Arabidopsis thaliana: one gene and its partner. The protein of the gene in region 1 interacts with the protein of each later gene in a pairwise test. Each region holds a gene or a part of one and is shown in the gene's direction. Other genes may lie near its edges.

The links.
Region 2: the proteins of AT5G01200 (region 1) and FBH2 interact in a two-hybrid assay, tested with the Arabidopsis thaliana proteins (one large-scale study listed by BioGRID).

The regions. Positions count from the first base shown.
Region 1 is NC_003076.8:75,054-79,242, forward strand, and holds AT5G01200 (Duplicated homeodomain-like superfamily protein), read left to right. Parts: upstream 1-1,818; 5' UTR 1,819-2,062; coding exon 2,063-2,523; intron 2,524-2,898; coding exon 2,899-3,241; 3' UTR 3,242-3,490; downstream 3,491-4,189.
Region 2 is NC_003075.7:5,845,585-5,850,575, forward strand, and holds FBH2 (basic helix-loop-helix (bHLH) DNA-binding superfamily protein), read left to right. Parts: upstream 1-1,727; 5' UTR 1,728-1,928; coding exon 1,929-2,381; intron 2,382-2,873; coding exon 2,874-3,020; intron 3,021-3,224; coding exon 3,225-3,290; intron 3,291-3,660; coding exon 3,661-3,729; intron 3,730-3,862; coding exon 3,863-3,916; 3' UTR 3,917-4,179; downstream 4,180-4,991.

The DNA.
Region 1 (4,189 bases):
TTTCTTCCAAAAAGTCGTTATCAAAGCAGAATTCATCTGTCGTCGAATTTTGAATGAGTAGGTGCAATGTCACATTTCCAATATTAAAAGAAAACGAGAAAGAAAAAAACAAAATACTCCTCATAAAACGATAGAAATGAAATAAAACGAAGCAAGAGTAATAAATTCGACAGAAAAAGGAGTAATTTACTAATTATAGTAAGAGAATCTTGCTAAATATAGAATCCAAGAAGAAGTCACTCTCTGTGGAACAGAAACCTTGTGTCTGCTACAAATCAGCAGATGACACTTACAGTTTACGTTTCATCATGCATGTGAGCGACACTATAGGGAGAATTCGGTATTGGCTTCCTTTGTTGTCCCTACCTTATTTAATTACTCCTGATAACTATTTTTCTGTGTATTTCATCGTATCGAAATATCCAAATTTCATTCTTCATGGCTGATTTAACTAGTGTTTAATTATAATTATACTTTATACTTTTTTTTGGTTCTTAATCACACATGCTTTCGGGATCTTGAATACGAAATTTTAAACCGTCTATCATTTGTTTCCTGAACCGGGTATTGCAAATAGTTAAATCTTAGTCAACTATTTTTTCGAGTTTTTTTTAAAAATAGTTCTGAAAGACAAAAATACATGAGTTTGTGAAAATGTTTGACAGTTGGCTATAATAATTGGTTGCAATGCTTTATACTTTTACCAAATTTAAATTATTCAATTGGCTAGAAGTGGAGCTGTGGTACCGTCCACATGAGGTGGTGTCGTGGTGAGACATTAATATATGAACTTTTGTTACGATATGAAAGCACCCGACACATACATTCTTCGTATTATCTTGCCTTATATGAATAAACATAAAATAACCAATACTAAATTTGAAACTGTGATACACTAAAGAAAATATCTTTGGTTACATCCAGCTCTGGCTTCTGTTCAAAGTTTTTCTTTTGAATTTATTTAAAGGTTAATTAAGATCACCACCTAACCCACTTGTACAACGGTTCTGCAGTTTTTGCCATCGAATCCCATTGTTTAATTCGCATATTTGTATGATCTCTACTTTTTTTTTAAAGTTAAATAGATTAATTAACAAAATGAAGTTTATTTACAACAAAATAAATGAAAAGTACAAATACGTTAAAAAACAAATTGTTTGCCAGCCAAAAATTAATTAAATACGTAATTTTCGAAGGTGTAATATTCCAACTTGTTTTTGTATATTTGTTTAGCTTATGGAGTTATGGTTGTGTTATTATATATTGAATGGGCTATTTCGTGTTGACAAATAAGCTCTTTAGTTAAATATTATTATGTTCTTGATTAAACAACAAATTAAGAACCGGCCAAACCATTGAACAGTCGTTTTCTGGTCTTTTTCATTTTATTGGTTACACCTTCTTTGTCATAAAATAGAAATTATGTTATACTTTCTTTCATGTATCGACACGTGCATTTGGTTAGTCTTAATCCCATTTCAATTTTATATGATTTATCATATTAGCAGAAAACAAATATGCTAATTATCACATAGATAAGCCATACTAAAAGTATTTATCTGACCTTAGGTTAAAAAAAATATTAAAATATAGCTTATAAGAAACATTCACTACTGAGTTGTCATATTTCTACTGGCCGACTTAGATTGCAACAACTAAAATATATTTTTTATAAATCATTTGACATAGGCAAAACAAAAACAAATATCTCTGTAACTTTTTCCTCAATTTTTTCTTTTAAAAAAACACTTTTTTATACACCTTTTCCTGTTGAATGTATTATTATTCCTATTGATCATCACGTGAAATATAGAAAAATAAAATAAAAAAGCAAAATCCACTTTTGTGTTTTCCTTTTCGTTTACGACCAAAGAGATCCACTTTATGCTCTCTTCATTTTCTCCATGTAATAATTTTTCTCGAGAGATTTCTGAAAATAAAGTCGTTTCTTTTTTTTTTTGCCTTGGTCACTCAAGACTCTCTTCTTCACTCTCTGTTTTTTGTCCTCTTCTAAAATTTAGAGAAAAAAACGAAAGTTTTCACCAAAAACAGAGGAGGAGCTATGTCATCGTCGACGATGTACAGAGGAGTTAATATGTTTTCACCGGCAAACACAAACTGGATTTTTCAAGAAGTCAGAGAAGCCACGTGGACGGCGGAGGAGAACAAACGGTTCGAGAAAGCTCTCGCTTATCTGGACGACAAAGACAATCTTGAGAGCTGGTCCAAGATCGCAGATTTGATTCCCGGCAAAACAGTAGCTGACGTCATTAAACGATACAAGGAGCTAGAGGATGATGTCAGCGACATCGAAGCCGGACTTATCCCCATTCCGGGATACGGCGGCGACGCCTCCTCCGCTGCAAACAGTGACTATTTCTTTGGTCTAGAAAACTCCAGCTACGGTTATGATTACGTCGTTGGAGGAAAGAGGAGTTCGCCGGCGATGACTGATTGTTTTAGGTCTCCGATGCCGGAAAAGGAGAGGAAGAAAGGAGTTCCGTGGACCGAGGACGAACACCTGTAACTACCAAATTTCTTCACTACTTCTAATTAATGTTATAAAGATTTGTTCTAAAAAAATCGATATTTTATGTTATAATACTATAGAATTTAAGTTTCTAAGCCTAACAATTTGTTTATTTTGGTAAATAATTTTGGAACTAAATCTTGTTTTGTGGTATTTTGAGGTAAATATATCTCTTTTATTAATATTTACTTGAAATTCTCTGTTTTTATATGAACTCACTGAGGAGAATATTTCTTTTGATAATTAAAATGCCTAGGATTTATACTTTTCTTACAATTTATATCTATTTTCAAATACTTTCTTGAAATTATTTATCTTATGTGAAGTTAACTAAATATAATATTGATTTACTTTTCTTTGTTTGACAGACGATTTCTGATGGGTTTGAAGAAATATGGAAAAGGAGATTGGAGAAACATAGCAAAAAGCTTTGTGACGACTCGAACGCCGACGCAAGTCGCTTCACACGCTCAGAAATATTTTCTTCGACAACTCACAGATGGTAAAGACAAAAGACGATCAAGTATTCACGATATCACCACTGTTAACATCCCTGACGCAGACGCATCCGCAACCGCCACGACCGCTGACGTAGCACTCTCTCCTACTCCAGCCAATTCTTTTGACGTTTTCCTTCAGCCAAATCCTCATTACAGTTTCGCGTCTGCGTCTGCGTCTAGCTATTATAATGCGTTTCCGCAGTGGAGTTAAATCACTTAGAAATTATCTAGAGTTTGTGGTCTCCTATAGATTTGTTACATACATTTTCTACGTACATATTACTGCAGAATTGTTGTAAATATTTGTATGAAAAGGTTTGTGTGATTCTGCTGTCCATATATTAGGTCTGGTTGGTTGTAATTTTCAGTGTTCCGAGTTTTATAATACCAATATATGATATATATATATGATATATATATATATATATATATATGTGTGACTTTACATACTATATTCTTTAATAATCATATAATTATAATGTAAATACCGTTGACTTTAATGTCAATGCTTGGTGTGAGTCGCTTTTTCTTCCCGACAACTTAGGATTAGTTCGAATCAGCATCTAATTCAGTTTTTTTTTGTTCAAATTAAAAGTAAAACTGACGAAGGATCTGACTATTAAATACTACTTTTTTACTTAATATTCTTCCCATGGCTTCGCTGATCGTTCAACATAACAGAAGAATTATATTCCATTTTCGTGGTTCCATTTACCTCCAATTATTATCATGAACCTGACGGGTGTTGCGTCCCAAATGCTTCGAGCTTTCAATTTGTTTTTTTTTTGTTTAACTAAAAAAAACGAAAAGAAAAGGGAAAACAAAAAAACAACGTCGGCTTACAAAGCCCAAAGAAGAAGAAATAGTTAATGCCCATTAAACTGTGCCCCAATAAGATCCCTTAAACCCCGTAAAAATCCATGATTTTCAAGCCCAGTAGTGATTTGGAGTGTACCGGTGATTTGGAGTCTACTAAAATGTTAAATTCATAAATTGCAAAAAGTTGTAAACTACAGTATTAGGATTACGACCTCTTAAAAATAGAGATACAAAAGAGTATAATATGAAGTCGCACCACATGTTTTTCATATTTCAAATTGCAACCAATCGTAGAGAGTTATAACTAGTAAGACTTCCATCGCCGTACCTAAAACTAGAT
Region 2 (4,991 bases), on another chromosome or scaffold:
TTAAAGGGCTTTAAAAGATTTACAAAGGTTTTTTAAAGATTTTTAAATGGTTTAAAAGTGTTTTAAAAGATTTACAAGGTATTTTAAAAGGATTTCAAAAGATTTACAAGAGATTTTTAAAGATGTACAAGTGTTTTTAAAAGATATTTAAAGAATTTACAAGAAGACCCTTTAAAAACTCTTGTAAATATTTTAAAATCTTTTAAAATCTCTTATAAATCTCTTAAAATACTTTTAAAATCTCTTGTAAATTTTTTAAAACCCTTTTAAAATCCCTTGTAAATATTTTAAAACCCTTTTAAAATCTCTTGAAAATATATTTTTTCCCAAAACAATTTTACAAGGATTTGCATAATCATTTTTTTGGCGGGATTTTTCTTTTTGGTGGGAAAAAAGTTTGCCAGAAAATTTTTTTGGCGAGAAAAATAAATTTTTGGTGCAAAAATTTGGTGGGAAAATTTCAGTTTCTAATTACATGTTCCTATTAGATGAGGATAATTTGGTCATTCTGTTCAAGGGAAATGGTATTTTTAAAAAAGGACAACATAAAAAGATATTGTTGCAAAAGGGTAGTAAAAAAAGAGTAGTTTTGCAAATCTCCCAAAATTCTGTAAGGGTTTAGGTTTAATATTATTTAATTATAATTATATTGCTTCCTTTTTTATAAGTTTAAATTTAATATTTGTTATTTTCGTTTTTTATTTTAAATTTTAAAATGGAAAGTAATTATTATTTTTAAAAATGTTAATTAATTAGATGTTAAATATGTTAATTATTGATGTGACAGCTTCCGATTAGTTGTTTTAAAAAATGTTAAATAATTAAATGCTAAATATGTTAATTATTGATGTGGCAGCTTTCGATTGGTCGTTCTAAATCCTATGTGGACGGCTTTAGAAGCAAATAGCCTCAACTTTTATATAGTATAGATTTTCAGTTTTTGGTGTTCAATTTTTCGATCACCGGTTTTGATGAGATTGAAAAACTCTGTGGGAATTTTTTATGGCCGGGCAACCCGAACACCACACGAGTTGTAAAAGTGCTTTCAAATTATTTTATTTATTTTATAAACATTTAAATCTTAAAAATAATATATGAGAATTAAAATTAATAAATAAAATTTTAACCATAAATTAAAAACGAAAGTAACAAAAAAAATTTAAAAAATGAAGTAATTTTTTTTTAAGATTGTAATATTTTTTTTAATAGGATGGTTTTTTATTCTTTACTTTTTTTCACCAGCGACCATTTTATTAAGTTAGGAGAACTAATCCGGAGTCGATGTACTTACATGAAAAAGAAAAAAAACTTCGTGTTCTTATATTTTTTGTTAGGCAATCAACACAGACATTGTTACAACAGAGAATAACTCTAATATAAAATAAAGACAAAAAATTTCAAAAGCTTTTTTAAAATATTGTAATTCTTCAAAAGCTTTTAAAATGTTGTAATTCTACAAAGCAGCTCAACTAAATAAAAGTTGCATTTTGCAGACATACGAAGTCGCTAATTTTTCACATATCGGAATTGGACCGAGAAGGTGGAAACTACGCGCCTCCATCGAGAGTGGTGTAAACCATAATCTATTACATAAAAAAAAAGATAACAAAAGAGACGTTAAAGCAATGTTTCTCTGTTACGCGCTGACGCATCTCTAACCTTTTTAGGTTCTGTACTATCTTTATCTTTTAGTCAAGTGTTAGAAAAGTATCTTAATCAGACGGTTAGGGTTCTTTATTATTACTAGCCGCAATTTTTTTATTGAAACAAATAAATAAAAAAATAACCCAAGAACAACAACAATCTGGTCTGCTGATGTATTAATTAAAGAAAAAAATAAAACAGAGCAAGAAACAAAAAAAAAAATGTAAAGAAAGAGAAAAAAAGCTTTCGTAGTGTCTATTGAAACCAGAGAAAAGCCAAAGGGGATGCAACCAACATCCGTCGGTAGTAGCGGCGGTGGTGACGACGGAGGAGGCAGAGGAGGAGGAGGAGGGCTAAGTAGAAGTGGACTATCTCGGATCCGTTCAGCTCCAGCGACTTGGCTTGAAGCTTTACTTGAGGAAGATGAAGAAGAGTCTTTGAAACCTAATCTTGGTCTCACCGATTTGCTTACCGGGAACTCGAACGATTTACCGACAAGTCGCGGCTCGTTCGAGTTCCCGATTCCTGTTGAGCAAGGGTTGTATCAACAAGGTGGGTTTCACCGACAGAATAGTACTCCGGCGGATTTTCTTAGTGGTTCTGATGGATTTATCCAAAGCTTTGGGATTCAGGCGAATTACGATTACTTATCGGGGAATATCGATGTTTCTCCGGGAAGTAAGCGGTCTAGAGAAATGGAAGCACTCTTCTCTTCTCCTGAGTTTACTTCTCAAATGGTAAACCAAAATTAGTTCTTAAATTAGGGTTTTCTTATACTTGCCAAAAATAGGATGAACTTAACTGACTTATTACTTGTTTTAGTTAATTTGCTGACCAAGTTCTCGAGATTGAAAAGACCAGTCTTGTCTTAAAATTGACAACTTGTGTTTTTCTGAACCAAACTAAGCAAGTTGCAGTTTCTATTTTAACTCAAAAAAAAAAAAATGGCAGTTTTTGTTGTTGGCTCTGTGGCTTTAATGTGTCAATGTGAACATTAAAGAATGCTCCTATGGGTAAAGTGTTTAGAAGACCATAAGTCCACATGATGATACATACTTCGGTGGTTAATGTGTACAAATGTATTGATTCTCCACACCTTTTGGTACATTGGTCTACTTAGTATTAAGTAACTACACTTGATCAAAATTTTGGGAACATATGTGTTACCTATGTGTTGATTAAGGTATTAGTGCTGATTTGCGCTTTTTGGAATTTTTTTCTGTAAGTAGAAAGGAGAGCAAAGCAGCGGTCAAGTTCCTACCGGAGTATCAAGCATGTCGGATATGAACATGGAGAACCTTATGGAGGACTCTGTTGCTTTTAGGGTTCGGGCTAAACGTGGTTGCGCAACTCATCCCCGCAGCATTGCCGAGAGGGTAAACAACATTCAATCTTTATTTTCAATGTTTTGGAAGTGTAGTGATCAAGGTTCTCTTAACTTTATACATTGAAGTTTAGTGATACAACTTATATCTTTACTTTCAATTTACGGATGTTTAATGATGCACTGTATGCTTCATTGAACAGAGGATTGTTCTGTTCTGGTCAGTGTATATTTATCTTTACCTTTCATTGTGTAGGTACGAAGGACGCGGATTAGTGATCGGATAAGGAAGCTACAAGAGCTTGTACCTAACATGGACAAGGTAATATAATTTTCAGCTTAGGTATAATCTGATGACCTCGGTTACACAATTATATTGACTAGAAATAGGTCAAAGATTATCTATGCTTAAATCAAGTGTAGAAGTTAGAGGTCAAATTAAATATGACTGTTAATGGTTGTGATGCAACTTCAGAGACACGGTTCTCAGCTCTGTAACTAAGTAATTCACAAACTGTGGAATGGATCTTGATATGGACTTGAATTGTTGTCACCTCGATCAAATAAGTATGAACTTGGTTTCCTCTCTATAGATTATGAACAAACTGAGGAAAACTTTTGGTTTTGGTATATATGGAGATTTGGAATCTAGGCTTTGAGTATATCGGTTAACTTTTTTGTCTTTGTTGCAGCAAACCAACACTGCAGACATGTTAGAAGAAGCAGTAGAATACGTGAAAGTTCTTCAAAGGCAGATCCAGGTAAATTATCTAAGTTAATATATATACACACAAAACCTTTTAGAGGAACCCAATAGATGAATTAAAAATGATTAGTCAACAGTATATAGTAAAAAGAGTTATGAGTTGGTTTATTTTGGTGTGGATAATATAGGAGTTAACAGAAGAACAGAAGAGGTGCACATGCATACCTAAGGAAGAACAATAAGGTTTGCTCCTGATTTGTTTTATATTTGCTTAACGGCAATGATCTGATCGAAAAATTCGAAAGATGATCTTAGCTTGAATTTAGATGGATGTCATGTTGAAAAGTATATTATTTGATAAATGGATGTAGGTGTAATATAAAATTTTTGTACAATAATGAAGAAAGTTAAAAAGAATTAATGAAAACATATATTCTTTATGATATTAGTGAAATGACTTTGATTTCATGTTGTTTGATTATAGTAAAGTATTTTCAAGATGTGTATTACAGTGTTTTTAAAACTCATTCATACAGTTACAGCTAACATACTAGATTACTAACCATCATGGAATAAGATTGCTTAGTGGTGCAACCAATCCGCAACGAGTTTGCAAACGAGGACAGAATTGCTCGATGTTTTGTCGAACCGGCAAGATAATCGGGTCTTTGTTTATTGCAGTGTAGATTAAATCTTATAGCGAAAAAGGGTTAATCATCTTACTAAATCCGCTGCAATCAGTTTCGAAATAAATCATTCCGCATACCGCGCTACCAAAAGTAGTGTAGTGTCAGGAGTTCTTAGTGTAAAGACATGAAATATATTTGAAATCCTTTCAAACCAATTAGATGAATCTGGTTGAAGCCATCAAATTAAAACCAAACTGGCTGCACATTTTTGTTTTGGTTTTCCATGAACCATCAACTTGAAAACAAAGAACAAGGGAGTTCAAAACATAGAAGGGATGATAAGCTCTGGAACGACTCCCATGCCTTCACCAATGTACTCTGCTACACCTAATCTTGGACTCGCATCCACGCTTTGAGTTCATCTCGCAATCACAAAATATTTTGTCAAGGATCTGGTTTCTACATATTTAGTATTGTTATCGTTCCTCGCTTTCGAGTTATACCAAGCTAACCAAGGGTAGAAACCACTATGTTCCCTTGTTCCATCTTGATTTCGAACTCTCCATAATAGAAAGTCTAAATTCGTGAATACGGAATTCGTTGGGAACACCACATGTGCTGATGGAACTGAGTCACTATTCTAGACTCTTTGTCTCAGCTACGAGCTAGTCAGAATTAAGAGTATATT